7 linked regions of the Sus scrofa genome follow. The protein of the gene in region 2 interacts with the protein of the main gene of each other region in a biochemical or structural test. Links are inferred from orthologs where the notes say so. Each region holds a gene or a part of one and is shown on either strand. Other genes may lie near its edges.

What was found.
Region 1: of the proteins of RHOA (region 2) and KCTD13, one has a biochemical effect on the other in vitro, tested with the Homo sapiens proteins (2 studies listed by BioGRID, with this or other methods). The link is inferred for Sus scrofa from reciprocal best matches to the Homo sapiens genes RHOA and KCTD13.
Region 3: the proteins of RHOA (region 2) and PLD1 form a complex in vitro, tested with the Homo sapiens proteins (2 studies listed by BioGRID, with this or other methods). The link is inferred for Sus scrofa from reciprocal best matches to the Homo sapiens genes RHOA and PLD1.
Region 4: the proteins of RHOA (region 2) and RTKN form a complex in vitro, tested with the Homo sapiens proteins (8 studies listed by BioGRID). The link is inferred for Sus scrofa from reciprocal best matches to the Homo sapiens genes RHOA and RTKN.
Region 5: the proteins of RHOA (region 2) and ARHGAP35 form a complex in vitro, tested with the Homo sapiens proteins (3 studies listed by BioGRID). The link is inferred for Sus scrofa from reciprocal best matches to the Homo sapiens genes RHOA and ARHGAP35.
Region 6: of the proteins of RHOA (region 2) and SMURF2, one has a biochemical effect on the other in vitro, tested with the Homo sapiens proteins (3 studies listed by BioGRID, with this or other methods). The link is inferred for Sus scrofa from reciprocal best matches to the Homo sapiens genes RHOA and SMURF2.
Region 7: the proteins of RHOA (region 2) and MCF2 form a complex in vitro, tested with the Homo sapiens proteins (2 studies listed by BioGRID). The link is inferred for Sus scrofa from reciprocal best matches to the Homo sapiens genes RHOA and MCF2.

Annotation. Positions count from the first base shown.
Region 1 is NC_010445.4:18,138,790-18,142,804, forward strand, and holds the start of KCTD13 (BTB/POZ domain-containing adapter for CUL3-mediated RhoA degradation protein 1), read right to left. Parts: upstream 2,801-4,015; 5' UTR 2,611-2,800; coding exon 2,367-2,610; intron 30-2,366; coding exon 1-29. UniProt on the Homo sapiens protein: Substrate-specific adapter of a BCR (BTB-CUL3-RBX1) E3 ubiquitin-protein ligase complex required for synaptic transmission.
Region 2 is NC_010455.5:31,928,708-31,932,207, forward strand, and holds part of RHOA (transforming protein RhoA), read right to left. Parts: intron 3,388-3,500; exon of another isoform or gene 3,372-3,387; intron 796-3,371; 5' UTR 794-795; coding exon 638-793; intron 1-637. UniProt on the Homo sapiens protein: Small GTPase which cycles between an active GTP-bound and an inactive GDP-bound state.
Region 3 is NC_010455.5:110,373,520-110,377,608, reverse strand, and holds the start of PLD1 (phospholipase D1), read left to right. Parts: upstream 1-1,289; 5' UTR 1,290-1,533; intron 1,534-4,089. UniProt on the Homo sapiens protein: Function as phospholipase selective for phosphatidylcholine. Implicated as a critical step in numerous cellular pathways, including signal transduction, membrane trafficking, and the regulation of mitosis.
Region 4 is NC_010445.4:68,605,060-68,608,559, reverse strand, and holds part of RTKN (rhotekin), read right to left. Parts: intron 2,034-3,500; coding exon 1,834-2,033; intron 1-1,833. UniProt on the Homo sapiens protein: Mediates Rho signaling to activate NF-kappa-B and may confer increased resistance to apoptosis to cells in gastric tumorigenesis. May play a novel role in the organization of septin structures.
Region 5 is NC_010448.4:52,710,112-52,714,262, reverse strand, and holds the start of ARHGAP35 (rho GTPase-activating protein 35), read right to left. Parts: upstream 2,801-4,151; 5' UTR 2,050-2,800; intron 1-2,049.
Region 6 is NC_010454.4:14,367,512-14,371,482, reverse strand, and holds the start of SMURF2 (E3 ubiquitin-protein ligase SMURF2), read right to left. Parts: upstream 2,801-3,971; 5' UTR 2,732-2,800; coding exon 2,680-2,731; intron 1-2,679. UniProt on the Homo sapiens protein: E3 ubiquitin-protein ligase which accepts ubiquitin from an E2 ubiquitin-conjugating enzyme in the form of a thioester and then directly transfers the ubiquitin to targeted substrates.
Region 7 is NC_010461.5:114,353,305-114,357,429, forward strand, and holds the start of MCF2 (proto-oncogene DBL), read right to left. Parts: upstream 2,801-4,125; 5' UTR 2,651-2,800; coding exon 2,566-2,650; intron 1-2,565. UniProt on the Homo sapiens protein: Guanine nucleotide exchange factor (GEF) that modulates the Rho family of GTPases. Promotes the conversion of some member of the Rho family GTPase from the GDP-bound to the GTP-bound form. Isoform 1 exhibits no activity toward RHOA, RAC1 or CDC42.

The sequences.
Region 1 (4,015 bases), on a different chromosome or scaffold from region 2:
GCGGCCGCTCCGGTCGATCAGCACCCAACCTGGTGAGGAGGGGAGAGGCAGAAGGAAGGATGGCTTTGCTGAAGGCCCTGGAGTTACTACATTTTAATGAAAAAAGGACTCCAGGAGTTCCCGTCATGGCGCAGTGGTTAACAAATCCGACTAGGAACCATGAGGTTGCGGGTTCGGTCCCCGCCCTTGCTCAGTGGGTTAAGGATCCGGCGTTGCCGTGAGCTGTGGTATAGGTCGCAGATGCGGCTCGGATCCCGAGTTGCTGTGGCTCTGGCGTAGGCTGGTGGCTACGGCTCCGATTCGACCCCTATCCTGGGAACCTCATATGCCATGGGAGCAGCCCAAGAAATAGTAAAAAGACAAAAAAAAAAAAAAAGGAAAGAAAAGAAAAAAGGACTCCAAAGCTACAAAATCTAAATGCTCATCTGTCTCAAGCCTCTGCCATATCCAAGAAAATGGCTTTATTTTTTTTTTGTCTTTTTTTTTTTTTTTTTTGGTATTTCTTTGGGCTGCTCCCGCGGCATATGGAAGTTCCCAGGCTAGAGGTCGAATCAGAGCTGTAGGGCCAGCCTACTCCAGAGCCACAGCAACGCGAGATCCGAGCCGCGTCTGCAACCTACACCACAGCTCACGGCAACACCGGATCCTTAACCCACTGAGCAAGGGCAGGGACCGAACCCGCAACCTCATGGTTCCTAGTCGGATTTGTTAACCACTGCGCCATGATGGGAACTCCAAGAAAATGCCTTTAAAACATCTCCAGTGAGATCTCCCACAGGCCCCTTTTCAACACATCCAGACACACAGAAGTAATTCCCTCCCACATCTGTTCTATACCTGGAGGGTTCTCACCAAGAGAAAGTTCCTCCGGATTACCGTATCAATAAACCTCTACCTCGTGTTACTTCTGATCATCCTATTGAATTAGAATGCTACCCCAGGGAGTTCCTGTTGTGGCGCAGTGGTAACAACCCAGCTGGTATGCATGAGGACTCGGGTTTGATCCCTGGCCTCACTCAGTGGGTCAAGGATCCAGTGTTGCCCTAAGCTGTGGTGTAGGTCGAAGACATGGCTCAGATCCTGCAGTGCTATGGTTGTGGCTGTGGCTGTGGCCAGCAACTACGGCTTCAATTCGACCCAACCTGGAACTTCCATATGCTGCACCTGCAGCTCTATAAAGACCAAAAAAAAAAGGGGGGGGGGAGTTCCCGTCGTGGCTCAGTAGCTAACGAACCAGGCTAGTATCATGAGGACTCCAGTTCGATCCCTGGCCTCGATCAGTGGGTTAAGGATCTGGCGTTGCTGTGAGCTGTGGTGTAGGTCAAAAACTTGGTTTGGATCCTGCATTGCTGAGGCTGTGGTGCCGGCGGGCAGTTATAGCTCTGACTGGACCCCTAGCCTGGGAACCTCCATATGCCACAGGTGCGGCCCTGAAAAGACAAAAAAAAGAATGCTACCCCACTCTCCACTACCATTTTAACCTTTGTATTCTTCATAGACCTCATTGCCATCTGGAATTACATGTTTCTGTCTTCGTTTTGGTATGTTTACTTGCTTATTGTCTCTCCCTACCCCCACAAAAAAGAAAACTCCATAAGGCTCATCTTAATCAGATTCATTTACCAAACTATCTCCTACACTAACTGGCATTTTGCCAATATTCATTGAACAATAAACTCTTCACCTGCAGATATTTGAAGACTGAGCTCTGCCTCCCCAATTTCAATTTTCCTGCTCTCACAATCCTTGTTAACCTCTTCTGAATCCCCCTCCCTGGACTTTTAAGGTTCCCCTTGAGCATATGGAGCCCGAACCTGACTGCGACACACTTTGAGAAGGTAAGGTTCGCCTGCCAGAGAGAACTGTCCACTCTCCACTCTGGCGTCCCTGGCAAACCCAAAGCAGCCCTCTCCTCTGACAGTCTGTTATTTACAGATAGATTTCTAGAGTGTAGGGACCTGTGTTAGGTCCTCCAACTCTCGGGGGTGGTTGCTGGCAGTGCTGAGGTAGAAGAAACTGATGAAGGTTGCCTGGAAGGGTGCTGTTGGCACCAGGGCTGCTTCCCGAGTCTTTTGAGCTGAGGAGGAAAGAGTGGAAGAGTCCGTGGGGAGCAGTAATGAAAATTTGGTCCTAACATGTTGAGAATTTGCTGGTTACTACTGCTGGGTGTAAAGACCGAGGGAGGAAGGGGATGAAGAATGAGAAAAGGGAGGTGCCATGGGATGTAGGGGATGGAAGAAGTGAGAATGAGTTGACTGGACGGCAAGAGAGAAGGGGCGTGAGAAGACTGGGCGAAGAAAGACTGGGAGAAAAGGGAGACGGGGATCTGGAGGAGGCAGGACAGTAAGCAAGGGCGGCTCGCGTACCTCCGGCGTCAGTGAGCACCTCCGCGCGGCCGCTGAACATGGCCTTGAGCATGGTGTCCTGTCCCGTGAGGGTGCGCAGCGTGGTGTAGTGCAGCGAACCGCCCACGTTTAGTTTCACATACTTGCTGTTCGGGGTCAGGGGCTTGAGACCGTAGGCGGCGGAGCCAGGCTCGAGACCCGCGGGCTTAGGAACTTCCAGGGACTGGGCCTCCGCCGCTGCGGGGCCAGACGCCTCGGCCGACATGCCTGGTGGCGGCGGCGGGCGACGATCCTTGGTTGTCTCCGCACCCTCCGGCCGCTCCCAGAGACCCCGGGACCCGAGCCCTTGGGCCGGACCGCTGGGCCCGCACGCCCCTAAGCCCCGCCGCTACTTAGTGACACTGGCCCTCTGGATCATCGCGCCGGAACCGCCCGGAAGCCGGGCGAGAACTGCGCAGGCGCGTCAAGGTCCCGCCCCCGACCTCGCGCGGCCGGGAGGGAGGAGCATGCGTGGTGGCGGTGGGCTGGCAGAGGGAGTCGAGCGCGGGCTGCGGGAGGGCGGGGCGCCGCGTGAGGTGTGTTCAGGTCGCCTGTCCGGGAGACTCGAAGTAGGGCTCTTGGCCACCTGCCTGTGTGGAAAACACTGCCCCCTTCGCGTATCTCCACTCTCAGGGTGCTTCATGGGCGTGAAGGGGAAGGGGCCCAGAGAGGCAAGGGGTTGGGGCACAGTTTCCCGCCTCCCGGCCCCGCGCATTTGACAGCTGCGAACGAAAGCCCCAAGGGGAGCTCTTAAGGGAGGCCAGACGGAGGTGGCCTCCCAGAGGAGGTGGCAGTAATGCTAGGTAGGGCATGCAGGATGTGAATAGATGAGGTCGTCCGTTGACGAGCGCTTCTCTGAGGAAGTGATACTGAGCTGAAGCTCAGAAGAGACGCCTATGTGGAGGCGGAGGGCAGAGAGTTCCAAGAAGAGCCCGGGGCAAATACAAAGACCCGTAAACCAGACACACTTGGCATATTTAACAGGCAGAAAGAAGGTCAGGGGTGGCTAGAGCAACCTGGACAAGGGTTTTAGAATCCCAGCCTATGTCGTGAGACACCCAACCTTGGAAGAAAGAAATAAGCTAGGAAAACGTTGCTGGTAAAGTGTGGCGAGAAGTGTTTGAATCTGATCTCATCTGCATTCTGTTGAGAGGCTGATACCTGGGACATTTAACAGTCGATCTGAATGTCTAGCAGGAGAATCTGCTGGAGGGAAAATGAAGCATGAAGCTGTAGTTCTGCCTGGCCATCAGTTCACCGGCAGTGTTACTTCTCTCTGGGCTTGTTTGGTTTCTTTTCTGCTGAGTGACGTGTGCAAATGTAAATGGCAGGGGCTAGGTAGGAATGTAAATGAGTGGAATGAACCAGTTACAAGGTATTAGGGAGTAACAGGGCCTGTGTTAGCCTGGAGAGCCCATGTTTTACCCAAAGGGCAATATTGTCAATTCTGATTTTTCAAGTGTAGCTGGTGAGAAAGAGAAAAGCAGCTCATGACAACTGGGACCCAGTTTTCACTATTCCTTCAGAAGCCTCTGTTGCTATGAGGGGGCCTGACACTATAAGCTAGGCTATGATGTTGCCCTGTTGAGCATAAACAATTTTATAGGACACCAGCTTCAGAAAAAACTCCT
Region 2 (3,500 bases):
TTCCCAATGTGAAATACATATGAATATGGCGGTAGTTCTCATCAAGCCCACCTGTCCCTTCTGCAGAAAGACCCAGGAGCTCCTCAGCCAATTGCCCTTCAAAGAAGGGCTTCTGGAATTTGTCGATATCACAGCTACCAGTGACACCAACGAGATTCAAGATCATCTCCAACAGCTCAAGGGAGCCAGAACAGTACCTTGGGTCTTTATTGGTAAAGCGTGTATAGGTGGATGCATGCACTGATCCAGTAAGTATGCACTAGAGAGGGGAGCTCTTGACCCGCCTGGAGCAAATTGGAGCTCTGAAATAGTTACAGAGCAGACCCAGGCTGCTGGAGTCTGATAGCCCCCTTGAGAGCTGGATGGCAGTGCAGATAATGACAGCGCTTCCTGGTGGATGGACACAGGGCTACCTTCACCCAGCTGCAACAACTGTTTACTTAAAATTCTGAAATGTGTTAACCCAAATAATTGGGGGGGGGAGTGGGATTTGGGGGGAAAAACCAGATTTTTCTTCTGACTCCATTATTAAAAGTGGATCAACTTGCCCCCCCCCCCAAGAGGCCTAATTCTCTACAGGCTGTATGAATAGCCTAACATGCAAAACAGTACCAATTGTTATGCAAAGTATACTCACCTGCTTTCCATCCACCTCGATATCTGCAACATAGTTTTCAAACACGGTAGGTACATATACCTCCGGGAATTGGTCCTTGCTAAAGACAATGAGCAAACAAGTCTTGCCACAGGCTCCATCACCAACAATCACCAGTTTCTTCCTGATGGCAGCCATTGCTGAAACATAAAATCAAAGTGTTGTCTAGAATGCACAAGAAGCCATAATAGTCTCAGGCCATGACAAATACTTTTCTGGCCATGTGGCACAAGCCTTTATTAACACATCAAAATACAAAATGCTGGAGTTCCTGCTGTGGCTCAATGGGATTGACAGTGTCTCTACTGCTCATGGGCTCAGGTTTGATTCCCAGCCTGGTGCAACGGGTTAAGGACATGGTGTTGCCACAGCTGTGGCGTAGACTCCAACTCCAGCTTGGATTGCCTGAGAACTCCATATGACACGGGGTGGCCGAAAAAGGGGGGAAAAAAAAGAAAATAAAACACCAGTATACCTTTCCACTTAGGACCAGTAAGTCATATCAAAAACCTATAACTAACATTATACTTAATGGTGAAAAGACTAAAAATTGTCCTGCAAGATGAGGAACAAGACAAGAATGTCCACTCTTTTTTTTTCTTGCCTTTTCTAAGGCTGTACCCATGGCATATGGAGGTTCCAGGCTAGGGGTCAAATCGGAGCTGTAGGCGCCAGCCAGAGCCACAGCAACGCAGGAGCCAAACCACGCCTGGGACTTACACCACAGCCCACAGCAACGCCAGATCCTTAACCCACCGAGCAAGGCCAGGGACTGAACCTGCAACCTCATGGTTCCTTGTTGGATTGTTAACCAATGAGCCATGACGGGAACTCCAAGAATGTCCACTCTTGACACTTCCATCCAACATAATATTAAAAGTTCTGGCAATTAGGCAAGAAAATGAAATAAAAGACATTCAGATCAGAAAAGAAGAAGTAAAATTATCTTAATTTGCAGGTGACATGATATTATACATGGGAAATCCTAAAGGATCCACTAAAAAACTATCGGAACTAATAAATTCAGCAAGGTTGCAGGATACAAAGTCATCACACAAAAAGCGGAGTTCCTATTGTGGCTCAGCAGTTAACGAACCCGACTAGTATCCAGGAGGATGCGGGTTTGATCCCTAGCCTTGTTCAGTGGGTTAAGGATCCAGCATTGCCCTGAGCTGTGATGCAGTTTGCAGAGATGGCTAGGATCCCACGCTGCTGTGGCACTGGTATAGGCCGGTGGCTACAGCTCTGATTGGGAACCTCCATATGCCACTAATGCAGCTCTAAAAAAACAAAACAAAACAAAACAAATCAATTGTATTTCTATACCCTAGCAATGAACAAATTGAGAATGAAATTAAGATTTTATTTACAATAACATCAAAAAGAATAAAATAAGAATAAACTAAGCACAAGAAGTACAAAACATACTCTGAAAACTTAAATACTGTTAAATGGGAATATCCTACAAATTAATCTACAGATTTAACACAATCACTATCAAAATCCCAGCTAGCTTCTTTGCAGACACTGACAAGTGATCAGAAAATATGCATGGAGGGAGTTCCCTGGTGGCTTAGCAGGTTAAGGATATGGCATTGTCACTGCTGTGGTTTGGGTTCGATTCCTGGTCCAGGAACTTCTGCATGCTGGGGGAACAGCCAAAAAAAAAAAAAAAAAAAAAAAAGAGAGAATGGAAATTCAATGGACTCAGAATGGCCAAAACCATCTTGAATAAGAGCAAAGTTGCAGGACTCACAATTCCTGATCTTAGAACTTACTCTAAAGCTACAGTAATCAAGAAAGTGTTGCACTGTTGTAAAGACAGACAGATATACAGCAGAAACTGGCACAACACTGTAAATCAACTATATTTTAATAATAATAATAATAAAAAAAAAGATATGAGCTGCCGCTGTGGCGCAGAGGAAATGAACCCAACTAGTATCCATGAGCATGCAGGTTCAATCCCTGGCCTTGCTTAGTGGGTTAGGATCCTGTGTTGCCATGAGTTGCTGTGCAGGTTGCAGATGTGGCTCGAATCCTGCATTTCTATGGCTGTGGCATAGGCCGGCAGCTGTAGCTCTGCTTTGATCTCTAACCTGAGAATTTCCATATGCTGCAGTGTGGCCCTAAAGAGACACTCTCCCCCAAAACAAAACGAAACAAAAAACACATAGATTGGAGTTCCCATCGTGGAGCAGTGGTTAATGAGCCCAACTAGGAACCATGAAGATTTCAGTTCAATCCCTGGTCTTGCTCAGTGGGTTAAGGATCCGGCGTTGCCGTCAGAGACGCAGCTTGGATCCCGCTAGATTAGACCCCTAGCCTGGGAACTTCCATATGCCGCGGGTGCGGCCCTAGAAAAGACAAACAAACAAAACACACAGATCAATTGAGTAGAACTGAAGAGTTTAGAAATAAGCCCTTGCATTCAGGGTCAAGTGATTTTCAACAAGGATGCCAAGACAATTCAATGGAGGAAGAAACAGCGTTTTTAACAAATGGTGCTCAGACAACTGACAACTGAATAGATACATGCAAAGAAAGGAAATTAGAGCTCACATCAGATGAAAACTAGCTCAAGATGGACTACACTCCCAAACATAGGAGCTAAAACTGCTGAATGTTCTTAAATTTAAAAAAACAGTAGGAGTTCTTGTCGTGGCTCAGTGGTTAACGAATCTGACTAGGAAACATGAGGTTGCGGGTTCAATACCTGGCCTCACTCAGTAGGTTAAGGATCCAGTGTTGCCATGAGCTGTGGTGTAGGTCACAAACGTGGCTTGGATCCCGAGTTGCCACAGCTGTGGCATAGGCCAGTGGATGCAGCTGTGACTGGACCCCT
Region 3 (4,089 bases), about 78 Mb from region 2:
TGTTTTCATGATGACACTTAGAACCTTGGGACGCAATATTATAGCCCACTGCTTCTCAATCAAAAGTGTTATAATTTCTAAATACAAGCTTGTAAGAGTGCATTGCTTGTATGTATAAAACTTATCAAATCATCTGTGACTAATAAAACTTGAGAAAGAAGGGGAGGAAAGGGTATTCAACCTTTCGGTAACATGCTTGTCTTATACTTGCCAAATTCCTCTTAGGCAATACTCTGTTCAGAGAGCCATGTGTTTAATTGTAAAAATCTGTCAGTCTCATAGGATTCAAAAGATATCAATCATTTTTGTCAACAAAGAAAAGAGTGAAGGCTATGTGACTCTTCTTAGGAAAAGATGTGCTCAAGAGGGAAAAAAATGCAGTCCAGGGAGGGCTGAGCAACTATAGGTTACAGGAAAACAAGAGTTCCAGACTATAATTTCATTCCTCCTCCTCTACTTTGGAGTCGAATATTATATTTTTCATTTCACATAGTTCCATGTGCTCAGTAAGATTATGCAACTCGGCCAGTCTCGGCCGTGCAATATCCACTAAATGTTTTATAGAGGCCATCAATATTAGCAGTTTGGGGTATGTGGAGGCCATAGCTTCCTTCGGCTTTGGCAGAATGGCAATGTTGTGTAATGAAGTTGGAGCTGGCCTATATTCAAAGCTATATTTCAAAAGGGCTGCTAGTCAAGCCACATGACAAGTGGTTCTTTTTTTCTTAGGACTTTATTCTAAGTGGCCATCAAAACTGCTGTATTACAACAGTTCCATGGGTGGAATGGGAATTTTCCATGTTTTACTCCTGATTTATTATTTTATACTAAGATTTCTGAATTATACCTTACTCGAGCTTTAAAGACATCAGGACACAAAGTTCAGTTTCCTGAGTTCTTGGTTGGGTGATCTTAGGCTGGTTACTTCACTTTTCTGCCTCAGTGTCCTTGCTTGTAAATTAGTGATACATCTACACCAGGGAGTTGGAAGAAAGCTTATAGATGACTTCGACAAAACTCCAACTCCTTAATTGTGTCACCTCAGGCAAGTTATTTCACTTTTTTTTTTTTTTTTAAATCTTAATCCCTACTTGTAAAATAGACCAATTGTGGTTACCAGCTACAATAGATTATGATTAGATACAAAGTTCCTACAGCAGTGCCTGGGCACTGGGCGGCTCAAGAGGACCCGATAATACAATAAAAATGCTAGCGAATATGCCCTCGGTTGACGCGGCTGGGTTATGAAACTTTGGGAGAAAAGAGAAACAGAAGCGGGGACCAGGAAAGAGGACCAGCTTCCGCGCCCTCCTGACCAGCGGGGCGACCAGCCTGCGCTGCGACTCTCCCGGACCGGCACCACCTCGCCCCACCCCTGCCAGGCCTGCGCGAATCCGGGCGGCGGCACAGCGCGGTCCCCAGTCAGGCCCTCCCTCCTTCCCTCCTCCCGCGCCTCCTGCGGTGCCAGCTGCGTCCGAGCCCCAAGAAACCGCCGCCGCCGTGCCGGTTCCTGCGGCCGCCCTCGCTCCACAGGTAGGAGCCGTGCCGTGGTCCGGGAGCCTGGATTCCCCCGCGCTCGCCCTCCGCCCCTCCTCCCGCCGGCCCCAGGCAGCTGGCTGCTCCCCGCCCAAGTTGGACGGGACCTTGGCAGTGGCGTTGGCGGCCGGCGCCAGCGCCGTGCGGCCTCGCAGGACCGGCTTCCCTAGCAGCCCCACGGGGTCTCCTGTGCAAGCCTTGGTCCCGGGTTCCTGCAGAGCGGACGCTGACAACTTCGGCGCGCACTTTTGTCAGGGCGAGCGGCTGCCTGGAGCGCAGAACCGTTCTGGCTCCAGGCCGAAGTTGGGGCGTGCTCTGCAGGATGCACCCACCCACCTCGCCGCCAGGGACCCCAGTGCCGTGTGTTGGATGCCTCTGTGTTACTTCGCGCGCCCGGGGTTAGCGTGCGCTGTGAAATGACCGGGATGGCGGGTGCGATGGGACTAGCATCCCAGACCAACCAGGAAGTGTTGCATTCCGAGGCTTAAAGCCCAGCCTGCCAGATGCACCGTCCTGGCGTGTGGCCACACAGCTGCTCGCGGGGGCGCCCACGAGATGATGACGCCAGGGTGGGGCTAGGGAAAGGAGGCAAGGAGCTGGGCGTGTGTAAAGAGATTTATTTTTCTCGCCCCATCTCAACGAATTTGTGGCTTAGGTCTGGGATCCAAGAGGGCGGTGCTCCAAGCCTCGGATAGGATTTTGTGACGCCCTTCGGAACTAACCCTTGTGGAATCAGCTCAGTACTACAGACACGCCTGTATTTGTTCCTTTTCCAAGTCTCAGATTATTGTCTTCTTTATTTCCTCTGTAAAGTAGTAAACGCAAGTAGATTTTTAAGGACGACAAGGGTTTCTACGTTTGCTTACCCATAGGTTTCTCCGCAGAATGAGGAATTCGCTAAACTTTACCTGCCGGGCCTGCCAATTAGTTTAGACCACCTTTTGAGTGCTTTCCCAGGGCTTTTGGGAGTCCAGGCACCTAGAGACCTTTGTGTTGGGTTTAATGGCTAGTTAATGGTAGTGCAATGAAAATGTAAGGCATGAAAAGAATCTACAGCTTGAGCTATGAACAGACACCACAATTACACACTGCCTATTTAAGAAAGAATTTCTTTCAGTATTCAATGTTTTATGATAACATATATAAAAGTGAATTGTACACAGGCTTTTAACTTGAATTTGCACTCAGCCTTTAAATGTCGTTTGGGGATCTTTTCCCTAATTGGTTGAGCTCCCAACCTGTCTTCTCAGGATCTGGTATAATTCACAATCCATATTAAAAAAATGTGAGTAGTTAAGGCTTTGAGGAAGATGTGTCTTTACCATGTTTGTCCATGATGTCAGACTATTTGTGGAACATGATGAGAAGTACCTGTAACGTTGGTTGATTGACTTATAACTAAGTAGTGGGGACTCTGTTCTTTGGAAGTTGTCTGATTACTAAATGTGTTTCTTAATTAAAAATTGTTATAAAATTCATTTAACTTTAATTATTACAGAGTTTTTAAAGTTATTTTATTTCATTTTATTTTTATTGTGATAAGATACATATAAAGTAAAAAAAGATACACATAATGTAAACTGCCATTTTAACCATTTTTTTGTATACAGTTCAGTGTCATTAAGTACTTTCACATTATTGTGCTACCATCAAGACTATCCCTCTACAAAACTCTTTTCATCTTTCTTTTGGATTTTAATAACATGTTATTGATAAGGATTGTGATGCAAGCTTTAGGTTTCTCATTAAGCAAGGTTTGAGTTCCTTTTCATAGCTTTAGAGAAATTCATTTTTAAAGAAGAGAAGTGGAAAGCTGTAGCCAGACTCTGTTTAGTAAATCTATTTATTTATTTAATTTTTTAATTACTCAAATGAATTTATCACATCTGTAGTTTATAATGATCATCACAGTCCAAAAAAAAGTAAATCTTTTTTAAAATTAAAGTACAGTTGATTTACAGTGTTTCTTCAATCTATTTAGTAAATTTAATCTCCATCAGGAAAGGATAAGCTTGTGAGCTATTTCCATTTGTAGGTAAAGCTACTGTGAAGTTTAGCCATCAAGTGGGCGAAACAAGTAAGAGAATTATTGTTGATAGTTTCATCTCCTTAGTATCTAAGAGAAAAATGAAATACTTTTGTCTTCTTAGCAGTGAGGTAGCGTGTTTCTAAATTATGCTTGAGCTTAGGTTGTCCACAGCTTTTTAGTAACCAAAAGCAGTTTTGATCAAGCTAGCGGCTACGTTGTAGCAATTTCCTTTCCACTCCAGGTGTTTACTAAAGATGTATGCCAGAGGAGCTAGCACATAAGATATAGCCCTTTAAATTGGCAGTTAGTCTGAGTCATGTAGATGAGGGGAGCTGGAGCTGTGAGAGCTGTGAGAGTTTTATGTTTATAATCCTATAAATTTTAGCACCGTGAAATAAAATGTAGTTTCTGCCACTGGTGTGAATGAATATTGTTGCAGAGTTAAAATGCAACAACTTGTAGGAGTTCCTGCTATGGCTCAGCCCGTTAAAGGATCTGGCCTTGTCTCTGTGGTGGTGAGGGTT
Region 4 (3,500 bases), on a different chromosome or scaffold from region 2:
CTTGGGCCACCCCCCACAAGCACCCTCCCTGACCACCTGCCCAGACCCTGCCAGGGACAAGAGGGGCTTGAGGAGACAGGTGCCCAGAGAGAGGCTCCCTTTCAAGGACTCTTCTCCATTAATCCCCAGGCTTGCAGGATTTTGCAGGCTCTCTCGTTTTTTCTTGTTGTTTTTGTTTCTTTGTTTTTTGACTTTTCTGGGGCCGCATCCATGGCATATGGAGGTTCCCTGGCTAGGGGTTGAATCGGAGCTGTAGCTGCCAGACTTTGCCACAGCCACAGCAATGCGGGATCCGAGCCGTGTCTGTGACCTACACCACAGCTCACGGCAACGCCAGATCCTTAACCCACTGAGCAAGGCCAGGGATTGAACCCGAAACCTCATGGTTCCTAGTCAGATTCATTAGCCACTGAGCCACAACGGGAACTCCAAGTCTCTCTTTTTAACAATAAAGGAGGCTACTTGTCTCCACCATCTCATCACTTTGATAAAAGAGGGTACTGGCAGCCAGAAAATCAAGAACCTCAGTATGGAGCATTTGTGTTCCATTTGCCACGAACCTCTCTCTGTCCTCCCCTGAGCTTTGATTTCCCCTCTATCCTCCTGGCTAATGGGCCAAACCTTCCCAGTGGCCCGAGTTCCCCAGTCCCCCCACTGAAGGGGGGGACATCCACCTTCCTCCCCTCCCCACCCATCCTTAGGACCCAATTGAGCAAGTATCCCTCTCCTCAGGTGATGGCCAGCTTAGCTATACTAATTCATGATTCATCACAGTGAAATTAGTGACTAACTGATGTGGCACTGACGGCAGTGTGTTTGGCTGCCAGGGACTTGGGGTGTACTTCACATCCCACTCTGTGTGTGGGCCCTGTGTGTGGGCCCTCTGTGTGTGACCCATTGGGCAGGGCAGAGCCTTCAATGGTCCCCTCTCACAAGATAGAAAAGTCATAGTAGGAGCTGTCCCCATGCCTGCTGGCCCTTCCTTCAACTTTATGGAGCAGCAACTGAAGCTTTCCTCCTTCCCCTGGTGTCTTCCTGGGTGAGCTCTGGAGGGCTCCTGGCAGCCTCTTCTTGTGTCAGCCTTCCCGGCTGAGCTGGGATGGACACTCTGCCAGTGAGGGGCCCGGACCTTCTCGGCACTCAGCCTTGTGGGGCCAAGCAGGCTACTTTGCCACAAGCCAGTTTTCAAAATGACCAGTTTATCAAAAATGGCCAGTTCTCAGAATAATCAATTTTCCAAATATTTTCTCCCACGTTGTAGTTTTACCAGAGCCATCGCCTCAACCATTTCACTGCAGATTTGTCAGATCAGCAGAGTCTATGGTCAGGGTAGGCTGGGCTTCACATCTAAGAGGTGAGTCTGTTTAGAATGCACAGTCTAATTACGTGGATGGGTAGGCGTTCCCTTATTATGTTTTTTATTTCCCTTCCCAATCCCTACCTCGGATGAGGCAAACCCCAGGTACAGTGAACTGTTGTCAGTTACAATAAATTGGCCATTTAGCAGATTGGCCATTCGGTAAACTAGCTTGGAGGAAACTAGGTTTCCAGAAGCCAGGCAGCCCGCCTCATTAGATCACAGGCAGGGCTTTGCAGATTAGGGCTTTTGCATTACTAGCCCTCAGACTGCCAGCCTTTCACCAGACACACTGCTTTCCTGAGCTCAGCCCTAGCAATTCACTAGCACACCTCTGAGCAGCACACTGTGGTGGCAGGACGCCAAGGTGTCTTCCAGGCCCGTGGTAAGTCTTCATGAAGAAGCCAGCTTCAGGGCAGTCCATGTACACACTGCACTGCTACCCCCCATAAAGCCTCGCCTCCCCCCTTGCTCACCGCCGGCCTGTCTTCCCCAGCACCTGCGCCTCCTTGCGCCGCTGAAGCTCGCCCATGTAGCTGAGGATGCGGCTGTTGCACACCAGCAGGCTCTTGGTGGCCTCCAGAGCCTGCTCTCGCTGGGAGCAGGCTGCCAGCAGCTTACAGGCCCCTTCCCTCATCCGGATCTCATGGTCTAGCTTTCTCTGCAACTCTGTGTCCTAGCCGGAGTCGGGAGAAGGATGAGAAGGACATGTCAGTCAGGGGACAGGCTGGAGCACCCTTCAATCCCCAAGTGGGCTGTCACCTACTAGAAAGTGAAAGGAACGTGTTTAAGGCAAGAGTTGAGTCTCAGCTTCAGCTGCCCAGGATTAAGCAGAGAAGCATTGTAAAAAATATAGATGCCCTCTGGGAGTATAATTTTTTTCAGCCTCTTTCGAGTGCAATTTGGGAAAATCTGTGAAACCTACAAATTCACATGTCCTTTAATCCAGCTAGCCAATGTCTAGGAGTTTATCCTAAAGATATAGTTACACTTGTGGGCAGAACCATATTTATTGCAGCATCATTTTAAACACAATATTAAAAGTCCTTTGGAGTTCTCTTGTGGCACTGCATTGCCACTGCAGCAGTCTGGATCACTGCTGTGGCGCAGGTTTGCTCCCTGGCCTAGGAACTTCCACATGGTGCAGGTGCAGCCAAAAACATTAAAAATTAAATTAGAATGTTAAAAAGTCCTTCAATAGGGTATTGGTTAAATAAGTTATAGGCTGTCTATACCACAGAACATAGAATATTGCAGACATTAAAGAGTAAGGTAGATGTGCAAAAATGAAAAAATCTTCAAAATATATGAAGTGAGATAAAGTAGAACAGTATTATAGCATGCTACCATTTATGCAAAAAATAGATATAGATAGATATAGATATCTCCTTAGATATGCATAAAATAGTAGTAGTTGTAGCTCTGGGAGCCAGAAATGGAAAACCAATTTATGATACTTTGTATAATACTCTTCTTTACTATGGCCCTGTTAGAAATTGTTACCTTTTAAAAAATTAAATCTTCTGAGTTTAAAAAAAAAATCACCAGGCCTCACCTCAAACTAGCAGAATAAGAATCTCTAAGACAGGGGCATTTGCCTTTTTCGGAAAATTCTCCAAGGGACTCTGAGGTGCAACCCAGGCTGAGAATGACCACAGATAGTAAAGTCCATCCTGGTCTACCCCAAAGATTCGCAAGATGAGAGAGAACATCTAGTTGGGAAGGGGTCAGTGGAGAAGGAGCATACTACCTGCTGTGTTTGCTCATGCTGAACAGAATGCACTACACACCCCAAATCTGGGGACCTGCTGGCCCCCTTGAGTTTGGGAGGTGGGGACAGAGGCAAGGGATGGGGATGGGGAGGCAGGTGAAGCAGGAGGTCAGGAAGGAGGAGCTGAGCAGGCACTCAGCACAATGCCCAGCCTATGGTGTACATGAATGGTGGAGGTGTTTATTTTAACGACGCTATTTCAGCCCCAGTAGCATTCACTTAGTAACACTGGAGCCTCCCTCTGTGGTCCAAGTCTCCACATCTGGGAGGTGAGATATGCAGGCATTAATGGCTGCGCCTTAAGTGCCAGGTCATGGCACAAACACACTCACAGCAAACAGACCCTATTTGCTCCTGGATGAGGTGATGGGG
Region 5 (4,151 bases), on a different chromosome or scaffold from region 2:
TAACCAATTAACCAACCCCACCTATTTACAGAGATCTCACAGGATCCCTGGAGATAAAACCCTCAGGGTCAGGGCGCTGAGAGACTCTGCAGTCTAAACCTGAGTCTGGAGAAGCCTAGGTCCAACCCAGACCCTTGCCCTCCAAAGCTGAGGGACAGAGTTCAGAGAAAGGCATGCCTGAAGAGGCGAAGCACCCAGGGGGAAGAAGCAGTCAAGGGGGGCAGGTGGGAGAAGCAAGTCTGACAGGAACTAAATGGGAAGAGAAGGAGCCCAGCAGGAAACAAGGCAATGAAGAACAGAACTGAGAGAGGAATGGCAAAAAGGAGGGAGACTCTAGCCAAAAACTGGGCAGTTCCAAGAGGGAGCTGGGGTGGGGGTGGGTGAAATGAAAGGTAGGAATGATTGGGAAAACATCTCTACAAGGGGCAGAGCTGGGGGAAGGAGACTTAAAAAGGTAAGAGGGGCAGGGCAAAAAAAAGGGGGACAAATACAAGAAAGGAGAGACTGGAGGTTGAGAGGGGAATCAAAATGGTGGGGGGAGATCAGTAGGAAAACTTAGAATTTAGAAGCAACAGAGGTGCGAGGCAGTACCAACATGACCAGAGTTAAAGAGGACCACTCCAAGAGGAGACAGCAGCAGGAAAGTTAAAATGGATCCCCAAAATAGGCAGACAAGTGGACAGCTCCAAAAGGGGTAGAGCTGGAAGGAAAATAGAGAGGATGAGGCAGAAGCGAACAAATGAAAGAGCAGGGGCAAAAAGGATCGGGGCAGGTCTGAGATGCACAACAGGAAGGGAGGGGGTGATGGATCAGAGAGAAGTTACCAATAATTCAGTAAGGTAAAGGGCAAATCTAAGAAGAGCCAAAATGTGGAGGACAGGACTTGGAGATAGAGGGTGGAAGCAGGTCTTAAGCAGAGAATTGAAGGGGAAACAGGTCAAAGGAAAAGGGGGCAACTGAATGGAACAGCTCAAAAGAGGGCCAATAAGGAGGTGAGATGGAGAGGCAACAGGCAAGGACAACACCGGGGCAGAAAGGACTGCAGGGCGTGAGGCTGCAGAGAGGCTGAGTTAGGGAGAAAGGTCAGAGAAGTGAATTGCAGAAATGAGAGCTGCAGGGTCAGAGAAGGGGGAGGAGGCTGCTTCACGGAAGGCAAAGTCAGAAAGCAAGCAGGCTGGAGGGCACAGCAAGATCTGAGACTGAACGAGGGGCAGAGAGGGGAGGCAGCAAAGTCTGGAAGAGAGGAAAGGATGTGAATGACACATTTTGACTAAGGGAGGAGGCAGGCAAGGTGCATCTGAGAGGCAGGGGTCAGAGAGCCCAAAGGGGTATCCGGGGGGGAGGTGTGGGACAGATTTTGCGAGGAGACAGTAGGGCCCAAGAGGGAGATGGAATTAAGTCCAAAGAGAAGACCTGGGGCAGCAGTGCCGAGACAAACGGGGTCCCAGATGGATCTCCAAGGAGGTGGAACCGCAGTTCCTAGAGGGACAGCTCCAGGGGGTGCAAGAGAGGGTAACAGCAGACCGGTCAAAGAAGGGGGCAGGGGCAGGGTGCTGAGAGCGGAACGGGAGAAGGCAGAAGGGTCACGAACCAGAATGTGAAGGTCCAGAATTAAGGGATGCGGAAGGGTCACGGAGGAGGTGGGTCCCATGAGCACTGCAGAGTCCGGGAGGGGCGAGGGGCATTACTGAGGGAAGGAAGAGGGAAAGGGGAGGCGCAGAATTGCGAGCGGAGTGGCTGCAGTGGCCGAGGGAAGGGGGAGGCCGAGGCAGACACAGAGATCCCAATGGGTCGGAGGGTGGGGGCAGACGCGGCGACAGCAGGGCTGAGGCGGGCAGGGGCAAGTCCGAAGGGCAGGCGGGCCCCGGCGGGCCGGGCCACAGCGCGAAGCGGCGGGGCCCGGGGGGCTGGGGGGCCGCTCCCTCCCCTCCCCCTCCGGCTCCTCCATTGTTCGCGGGCTCCGGGCCCCGCGGTCCCCGCCTTCCCCTGGACCCCACAACGGGGCGGCGCCCGGCCTCGCCACCGGGGCCCACGAGCTCGCGCACTCACCAGCTGGACGTCCTCAGCGCGGCCCCGGCCTCCGGATTCCCGGGAGCGGCGACGGCGGCCCCGGCGCCATGTTCTGTTGCTCCTCGTCCAGCGGCGGCTGAAGCGGCGGCGGCGGCGGCGGCGGCGGCAGCTCCGGCGGCGGGGGGCCGGGCGGACCCTCCCTCGCGGGCTCCCTCCTCCGCCTCCTCCACCTCCTCCTCCCGCCGCTCCGCTGCTCTCCCTCGGGGCGGGGGGCGGGGAGGGGAAGGGGGGAGGGGCGGGAACCAGGGGGAGGGCGGACCAGCCTCGCTTGCTCGCTCCCTCCCTCCCTCGCAATGGCGGCAGCGGCACCTCCTTCCTGCGGCCCCAGCTCCCGCGCGCGTGCCCCCTCGCTACTGCGCGTGCGTGGTGCGGGGACCTCTGCAGGGGGATAACGGCCCCTGAGCGCGCGCCGCGAGGGAATAACCCGCGCTGGGTGGGGGAGAAGTGAAAGCCCGTACGCGCCCGAGGGGCTCACTGCTACCGCAGCGGCCGGGTCCAGGGAACGGGCGCACAGGGCGCAGTGCGCGTGCGCCCCAAGAAAATGCCGCTACTGCGGTGGCTGCGGCGCGAGGCAGCGCGAGGCAGAAGGAACGGGGTGGGCAACTGCGCGTGCGCGATAAGGGATGCCAGCCGCAGCGTCTACTCGCGCTGAGGCGAAGGGAGTGGTCCGCGGGGGGCGCGCGCACCGTTGCGCGCGCCAGAAGCAGCCGATGCCCTCCTCACGCGGCCTCTTGGAGAAAACGGGAGAGAGGCATGGCCCGGCTTTGGGGGCGGGGGCGAAGGGCGCGATCCCGCTCGCGCGGGACCTGAGCAGCCAATGAGAGGCAAAGGGAGGTGGGCTTGCCGCGCGAGCGCAGCCCCCGGGATAACGGAGGAGGAAAGAGGGAGCGACGTAACGTGGGGCGGTGGGACGGAGCTGAGGAGGAGGGAGCGCACCCAGTGAGGGAATTGATTGGGGAACAGGAGGAGGCGTGGCCCGCCTTAGCCCAATCCGAACCTTGCATTTCGTCGTTCCGGAAGAGAGGGCGGTGCTGAGGAGCGCGTGCTATTTTCCCAAGCAGTGAGGAAAATCTGCAGGTTATGTGCGAGTTATTAAGACTTGCTGTGGGTTCTGTGAAGCCCTGATTTCCTGGAGAGGGGCGAGGGCCTGGTCCTCCAGGTCAGCATTGTGCAAATGACTGCAAGTCAAATGTCAGTTCGGGCGCCCGGAGGGGAAATATTAGTGATGGGAAGGGGCACTGCTATAACCCCAGAGTTCTTGTGAACTGAAGAGGGGTTCCTCTGGGATCCCTCCGGAAGTACGGATCGTGGAAGTTGAGCGTTCTGGGAGCTCAGTCAATATTTAAGGAATGCATGAAGAAACGCTATGCTTCTTACTGCATTTTTCGTTTCTTAGTCTCTTCATGTAAAAAGTGGAATGATAATCTTATCTCTTTAGTAAGGTTTGTTGTGAGAATTTAAGGAGTTCTATGTGTAAAGCACAGAAAATCATGGCTTGTTCTAAAAACGTTGATGGAGTTTCTGTCGTGGCACAGCGGAAACGAATCCGACTAGGAACCATGAGGTTGAGTGTTTGATCCCTGGCCTCGCTCAGTGGGTTAAGGATCCGGCGTTGCCGTGAGCTGTGCTATAGGTCACAGACATGGCTGAGATCTGGCGTTGCTGTGGCTGTGGCGTAGGCCAGCAGCAGTAGCTCCCATTAGACCCCTATCTAGCCTGGGAACCTCCATATGCCGTGGGTGTGGCCCTAAAAAGACAAAAAGACAAAAAATAAAAATAAAAAAATTTAAAAAGTTGATAAATAAAAACCTTTGTCCTCACGGATGCTAGTCGTTGTTTTTTGTTTTCGTTGTTTTTTGTCTTTTTGCCATTTCTTGGGCCCCGCCCGCGGCATATGGAGGTTCCCAGGCTAGGGGTCGAATCAGAGCTGCAGCCCCCGGCCTACGCCAGAGCCACAGCAACGCAGGATCCGAGCCCCGTCTGCAACCTACACCACAGCTCACAGCAACGCCGGATCCTTAACCCACTGAGCAAGGCCAGGGATTGAATCCGCCACCTCATGGTTCCTAGTTGGATTCATT
Region 6 (3,971 bases), on a different chromosome or scaffold from region 2:
ATACCATGCAAGAACTGTTTACACCTTTCAGTAAAAGGGCACCTCTACATTAAGGATATAATTGAGTAACTACAATTCATAAAGCACCTTGGAATTAAAGGCACTATAAATTTAAAATACTAGCATGGTATTAACTTAAAGCAAAGAACAATTTAAAATCACCTTACAGACCACGTGTATTGTAAACCAAATAAAAATTCAGTATGGAATCCACTTTTTTTTTTAAGTAATTTTCCTCTATTATGGAACCCGGATCTAAATGAACTGTTAAACACTTAGTCTAAAGGTATGCCAAACATTTCTTAAAGTCTTAACAAAGAATCAACCTTTTTTTTTTTTTTTTTAAACAAAATGAGGCCTAGGTTAAATATTTTATTTGGCTTCTCAAGACGGACTGAAAAGTTGGGCACCAGCTCCAGACCAATTCCTGGACGCACATCAAACACAGCCCTGTCATTTATCCAGTCAGTCAAAACAATCTTTTCCATCTAACTCTTTAATGTTTATGTCCTAAAAAGCTGCTAATTGAATCCAGCTCTTGAAATCTATTTGTTAAAATCTATACCATCTAATTTGTAAATGAACAAAAATGAAAAAATACACGTTAACTTTCCTGGCAAAACAGAAGAGAATCTACCATATGTAACCAAAAGGGAGAGGACAATGTTTTTAATATTTGAATGGTTTTCTCTTAAAATATGACATATGACAGAGACAAATTCAAAACAAAACGATTTTAAGAAACTGACAGTATCTCCAACTGTTTTTGCAATTAAGGGGATACAGTGTATTAAAAATTCCTCAGAAAAATCTAAAAATACAAAATCACTCTATAAATTAGCCCAGTATTCCACCTCCCTCCAAAAAATAAGTGTAATCTTTATCCTAACTTTACTCATGACTTTTTATAATGTATCATATGCAGTAAGGAAACCACAGAAAAACACTTTAAGATTAAGTCACACTAAAAACCTGAAACTCATTTTATTTGCAGAAAATCGAAATCCTCATTTTCTCCCTCATTTTCTATTGTGAATATAGCCTAGAAGGAATTAAATGGCCACCAGCCTATTTGATGCTTTTGGCACACCTGGAATCACAGGTTCTTTCCATGATCACGGGCACAAGACTAACTCCAGGGAGGAACAGCAGTAGATAAACTCTAAAGCAACAAAGATCCCTTATAAAGGTTTCCATTGACTCATAGGAAAATAAGGAAACTGAATGGGGGAAATGAAGGGGACAGGCATCCCGCAACCCAGGTTTTCCATTAAGAACCACTCAGTTAATAATTTTTTGTGGGTTTTCCCTAGGGAAAGCAAAACTGTCATGAAAGTAATGTATTTTAAAAATTGCAGCCAACATACAGTCAAGGCTAAATTTTCAAATACCTAATTCAGCTGCACGTTTTTATCTTCAAAGTTCAGCCAGTGGACTGGGATGTGACACACAAGCACTCAATTACAAAATTAGTCCATATAAATCTCAAAGTCTACTGTAGGCGAACATAATTAGTTTATTCTTACACACACCCCCACACACGTACACACAGATTCTCTAAAGAAAGCCATTTTTCTCATGACAAATCCGAATATCAACGTGGGTAATTTATTAACAGTGAATGTTGAAACTAGGAATAAATACACTGGTCTCTACTCTTTTCAAAGCCAAAACAATTTTTCCTTAAAATGGGGTAACATGACCATGTAAGAATATTAAAAAAAATAGCACTGTAAGCAAAACGTACCTGTAACGTTAAAGATTTAATACCCTTGGAATCATAAACACTTCGTAAGAAAAGCCTGCTATCTAGCAACCCTTCCATTCTTTTCCATTTAGAAAGGAAAGGGGTGCAGAGTTGGGAACGAGAAAAACTTTGCTTCGCTGAAGTTTATATGAGCACGTATATAGAAATGTATCCCCCCCAACCCGCAAAATGTGTTTTTAAAGCAGGTCTAGAGCTAGAAGTGAAACACAAGTTCTGCGGCCTACAAGGAACAACCCCAAGCATGTTACCCTACAATCAAACACTTCCAAAACACAGAGTGTACAATGCGCCCGAGTCGTCGGATCAGGCAGACACACCGGAAAAGTCAACCTCAGTCTCCTTCCCTTTCAAAGTCGTGCGTCTCAGGTGTGTGGCACCGGCTGCCGCCGCTGGCAGCAGAGAGGAAAGGTTTTGCAGGCGGGCATAAGTGGGCCAACAAGTTAACAACCAGGGAACACACACACACACCCTCCCGTTAAGCGCTCCATCTTTAAGGAGTGTTTACTGCGCGCAGCCAGCAGCCGGATTCAATAATCCCCGCCGCAGGAGCTCCTCATCCTCTCGACGACCCCAGCTGGGCAGGAGCCCGGGGGCTGCTCCCCGAGGCCCCGGGAGAGAGCCGAGTTTCTTCGCCACGGCTTTTCGACCTCAAAACCTCCCGGAATTCCAATCCGGGACACCCCCCCCCCCAACAAAAGACCCCCGAGTCACCCGTGGCTTTTTTAAGAATTTCCAAACAAGGGAGAGTGGTTTTGCAATTACTCTCCTGAACTAGGCCTTTCACGTCCCCGACCCCCAACTCACCGTTGATCGCGACCCTGGCCCCTCTCAAGGCCACAGGCACCCCCCGCCAGCTTGCTCACCCCACCGGTGCCCCAGCCCGGCTCCCGCCGCCCGCCCAACCCCCTCACCTGTCAGGCGCAGCTTGACGGGCCCGTTCCTCCGGCCCCCGGGGTTAGACATGTCCCCGGCGGCGGGGGCGGCGGCGGCGGGGCTACGGCCCCGACGCGGGGCCCGGAGCCGGCGGGCGGGGCGGGGGCGACGGCGAGGCGCGGCGCAGTCACCACAGCGGCCGGGGCTGGGGCCCGAGCAGCCGGCGCCGCGGCCGCCACGGCCGGAGGGTCCCGGATGTGCCGAGCGTCGTCGCCATGAGCCGCGGAGGGAGCGGGACGCCGAGCTCCCCCCTCCTCCCACTTCTCCTTCCTCCGCCCGGGCCGCACAACAAAGCGGTAGCCGCGGCCGGCCGCGCCGCCTCCGCCCGCACCCCGCCGCCTCCACGCAACCGCCTCCGCCTTTCCCTCCTCTCGGCTCCGCGAGGCCCAGGAGCCGACGGGGCTGATGGGCTGAGGCGGGCGGTGCTCGGCGGCGCCGGAGCGGGACTCGGGCTCGGCCGCTTCCTCCTCCACCCGCCCTCTTGTCTGAGGGAACCCGGTCCTGGGGCCGCCGCCGCCACTCGTCTGCTCGGGGGGGTGGGGGGGGGAGGAGAGGAGGAGACGAGAGGCGGGGCCAGCGGGGCAGGGCGGGGCCGGTGGGCGGGGCCTGTGCGGGCGCGCGCCGGGTGCCCGGGGCGCAGGGGCGCCAGGCCCGGTGTCGGCCTGGGCGCGGCGGTCCGGGCCGGTGTGCTTGGTTGCAGAAGATGCCACGCAGAACTTGAGGAAGGAGTAGACAAAGGAGCAGGGTGTTGGCGCGGAGCTCTGTGCCGCCAGGAGGGCCTTAGCGTTTGGCCCACTTAATAGAGAGAGCTTTTGTCCGTGCAATGCAGACTGCTTTTATAAGACGCCCACTGCGTGCAAGGGGCTCTCTGAGGCTGGGGCGAGCAAAGTTAGAACTAAATCCGCAGCCCTCTGGGTTGAACGTCGCTAGGGTGAGGGAAGAGACACACCGAGGGTTCCAGCAAATCCCCAGGGGTGTTTTGCAACTGATACCATAGCTGCCACCTTCATTCAGGACTCACCTGGTGAATGAGATCAGGTTACCAGCCTACTTGGGCTCTTTTTTCAGCTGTAGTGCAAGGATAGGAGGATGATAATGCCTTAAAGGGGTTATTAACAAGATAAGCCTTGGAGAACAATGTATGGAAAGCTTTCCTGCAGAACTGTATTTCGTTATCTCAGAAGGAGAAAATAAAAGCTGAAATAAAAAAGTGTACCTTACCCTTTGACCATGTAATTGCAATTGCACTCTTAGGAAGTTATTCTTGACA
Region 7 (4,125 bases), on a different chromosome or scaffold from region 2:
CCAAAACTAAACCCCAAATTTCCTCTTCCTCCTCCCTTCCCTGCTATATCCCAACCTCTCTTCCCATCCCGCCATCCCATCCAGAAACCCGGAATTAACCTAGTCTCCTGCGCTGTCCTTCAAACCTCGAAATCAAGTCAAATCAATTCTACCCTCTCATTTCCTCAAGCTTCTCCCCTTCTCCCCATTCCCAGAACTGACTTAGTTCGTGTCTTGGCCCACGCCTGCCCAGCTTGCTACAACTGCTCTCTAACTGGCCCCCTTATTCCCGGTCTTCTTCCTCTCTGCGGCACACTCCACACACTGTGTCCTTCACACAGCCACCAGATGGCATTTCCCAAAGCAAGACGCTCCACTGTGCAATGCTGCTGTCAACCACGGTGCACAATGTGCCTGATACAACCCTAGCAAGGGCGTCGTTCACAGTTCACAGTTTTGCAGTGCACAACCTAGACAACGGTACATAGCGGCCTTGGTTACAACACTCTGGTGGCTCCTCCTGGCCCTACAAAGTAAAGCCCTCTAATATGCCTTACAAAGGGCCTGACCCAGCCTCTGTCTACCTCCCCAAAGTGATCTCTCTCCTGTATTTTCCACACTTTACATTCTAATCATTAAAGAAAGAAAGAAAAAGTTTCCCAAACATGTGATGCCATCCCCTTTCTCCTTGTTTTTGCGCATCTTATTTCCTTTGCCTGATTACCCCTCCCCACCACCCTCCATCCCTAGCCCCAGTCCACCTGGAAATGCATGCGCATCCTTGAAGATTCAAGTCACACATCACCTTCTCCCTGAAGTCTGCCCTTAGCTAGGGCCCTAAGTAGAGTTGCTCATCCTCGCTGCCCACGGCAGATGCTGCACAAGCAGGTGCAGTTAGCTTATTACAATGTAGCATGTCCTATAGGGAGCAGTGTCTAAACGGTCATTACCGAAACGATCTCAGAAAGTTCTGCACCACAGTGAAAAGCCTTGTACACATATTTCTTAAACAGATGAACCTTTTTTAGATACATGAAATCCTTTTTACACATAAAACTATCCCACTAGGGTGCGTGCCCTAACATCCTAAGCACAGACCACTTTCAGGCCACTCCGGCGGTCCTCCAGACCGTGCAGCTAAAAATGCTAAAAGGCAGAACAGTCCTGCAAGCTTGCTTAAAAATGGAACGCTGCACCCGGTGTCATTTGGCTGCTGTGCTGGGTCATAATGCTGAGGCGACAGGGGCCTGCCAACATGCAGGAGCCTTCAAAGGTATGGAAGCTGACACACCCGCACAACTTAGAGAAAGACAAGAAATCACTGGCGGTAGAAATGTGAACGCAGAGTGCGTAGCCTACCTAACAAGTTCCGTGCTAAAGCAGACATTTCTTGTCTGGAGCTTTACGTTTGTTTTGTTTTTGTTTTGAACTCTCAGGAAGATGCAGGAGCAAACACAAGACGCAGAGCCCTTGCCACACCCCCCTGAGCTGCACACGTTCCGACGAGCGAGGCGGCCGCAGCATCCCAGGGCCTTTCAAATGCTCAACACCTGAAGGAGCGTGCGCTGCGCCAGCCCACGCCCCTTCACGACGGATTACACCTGGAAACCAATCGCGCCCACCTTCAACCCCAAACGGGCAAGACCCGAACATCCAGACAGGCCGCAGCGGTGACACGCTGCGTTCTAAGCACAGGCACGGCAATGCCGGTACCTCGAAAACGCGTCTGAAAACCCCAGAGCTGCACCCTGTTCTCGGGTGGCTCCTGAGCCCCGGTCTGCATGGTCCCCTAGGGAGCTGTCTCCTCGGAGCCCAGAGCCTGCTGCACCAACCCCAAAGCTCTGCACCTCCCGCGAGGCAAACGTGTGCGCATCACCGCGGGCAAGTGACCGAGTCCACAGTACCCCGCGCACACCCCTCAACCAAACCACGGCAGTAGCAGTAAAGGACGTGTGGGTTTGTCGGCTCTTTTTGTTTGTCCCGAGAGACAACCCCAAACTTCTGCCTTTGGGGTTAGGACCCCAGGAGGCAGGAAACTCCTGGGCCCAGCTGGCAAGACACACCCGTCCTGGTGAAAAGTCCAAGCCGGCGGAGGCGCGGTTTCTCTACAACTTCTCCGACTGCAGTGCGGAGAGTCTCCGAACCCCAGCGCCTTTGGGGACTCGGTTTCCCCAAACGTCTCAACCCCACCCCACCCCCGCTTTTCCAGCCTGCGGGGAAGATTACGAGGGACGTGCACCCTCGGGAGGCCGGCTTCTGGTGGGCGGGATGCGGGCTTGGAAGACACCGTCTAGTGCCACCTCTGGCGACGCACCGAGGCGGGTGAGGAGGACAGCGGGGACCCGAAGCAGCCACGGCGGAGACGTCCTCACACCCCCTCCCGGACTTTCCCACAGTCCCCCCGCAGCGCGGCCCGCGGCCGGAGGGACAACTGGCGGGCGGGCTGGCCGTCGCGCTCGCGGCCCGAGGGCAGGCGAAGCGTGCTGGGCGGCCGGGCGCCTGGGGATGGAGCGCGGGAGGCGAGGGGCGCGCGAGCCTGGCGGGAGGCAGAGGCCAGCGGGCGGCGAGCGCCAGGAGGGAACTTACCTGCGACGAAGACCGCCTGCAGCAGGCAGAGGTAGCTCTTGCCGTACTTTTCGGAAATCCGCACGCGCTGCAGGGCCATGGCCATGTCCACCTGCAGAGGGATGGCCTGGGTGGTCGGCACCAACGCGCAGCCGTCCGGGTCCTGGGGAAGGCCCGGCGTCCTGCCGTCCGCCTCAGGGGTCCGCGGCTGCGGGGCCCCGGGCGCGTGCCGGGCGGCCGAGCCCAGGTGGGGCCGGGAGCCCGCCGCCGCCATCGTCTAGCGGGAGGCCGGGCCGGGCCCGCCCCCCCGGCCCGCCGCCGCCGCCGCCGCCGCCGAACTCCTCCCCGCGTCCGGCCCGGCGCCGCCGGGGGGTTCTGCCGCCCGCCCGCCCGCTCAGCCCGGCCGCGCCCGGAGGCCGGAGGGCGCGGGGCGCCCGGAGCCCGGGAACTTGCTCGGAGTCCGGGGCTCCGGCGGGGCGTTTCTGGCCCCGGCAGCCGCGAGGGCAACTCCCCCAGGGTGTGCACACACGCCCCCGCTTAGCTTCCCGGAGGCCCGGAGGCGGGGAGGTGGAGGAGGGACTCGGGCAGCCTAAAGGGAGAACCCCTGCAGAGACGCCCATTGTCAGCGGAGGGAAGGCCGGCCCCGGAGCGCACACGTGGTGGGAGGGGACGGCCCGGCCTCGCACTCCCATGGCAACTCGTGCTGGGCTCGGCGCTTCCCTGGCATCCAGCGAGCGCTGGCCGAGGCCGAGATTGGCCGCGCGCGGGAGCCAGGACGCTAGCCAGTGGCCCTGCGGGACTGCCGTTCTAGAAAGGGCTCAGGAACGCAGAGAGCGCGGGAAAATGGAAAGGCAAGGGGAGGCGACCCCTTCGAGAAGCCAAGTGGGAAAGGAGAGGAGCCAGAGCTCTTGCCTTGCCCCAGAGCCCCCAGGGATGGGGCCCGATGAAAGATGGGGCTCCGAAGTGTCTGGAAGGAAAGGAGTGAGCAGGCCCGGCAGGAGTGCTGCCCAGGAAGCGGCCACCTGAGGACAGGCCTGGGGACGTCCGCATAAAAAGTGCAAGTCTGGGAGTTCCCTTGTGGCGCCGCAGGTTACGGATCCCACGTTCTCACTGCAGCGTCTTGGGCCACTGCAGTGGTGCAGCTTTGATGGCTGGCCTGGAAACTTCCACAGGCCCCAGGGCGTGGCAAAAACAAAAACAAACCCTGCACGTCTGAAACCAAGTCAGTGCTATCGGGAGAGATTCGCCAGGATTTTGCTGCAATGCTTGCAGCCTTTAGCAGAGCTGCGAGTGCCACTTCTTTCTTTAATCCTCAGCCTTTTCAAAGTTTTCTAGTAAGACAGTGTTCAGATGTTACATAGGCCAGTCGTTCCACGTTGATCTTTCGACCGCTCTATGGAGAATCACTCATCTATACCTCCCGAGAGCCGGTGCAGGCAAGTGTAAAAGGCAAAAGTAAGCAGAGGAAGAAAACACATACATACACACTCACACACACCCCCCCTCCTCCTCCTCTAGCCAGTTCAAGCTCTGTCTGAATGGGTCCACAGACAGAATGTTTTCCAGCCCCCCTCTTGAATA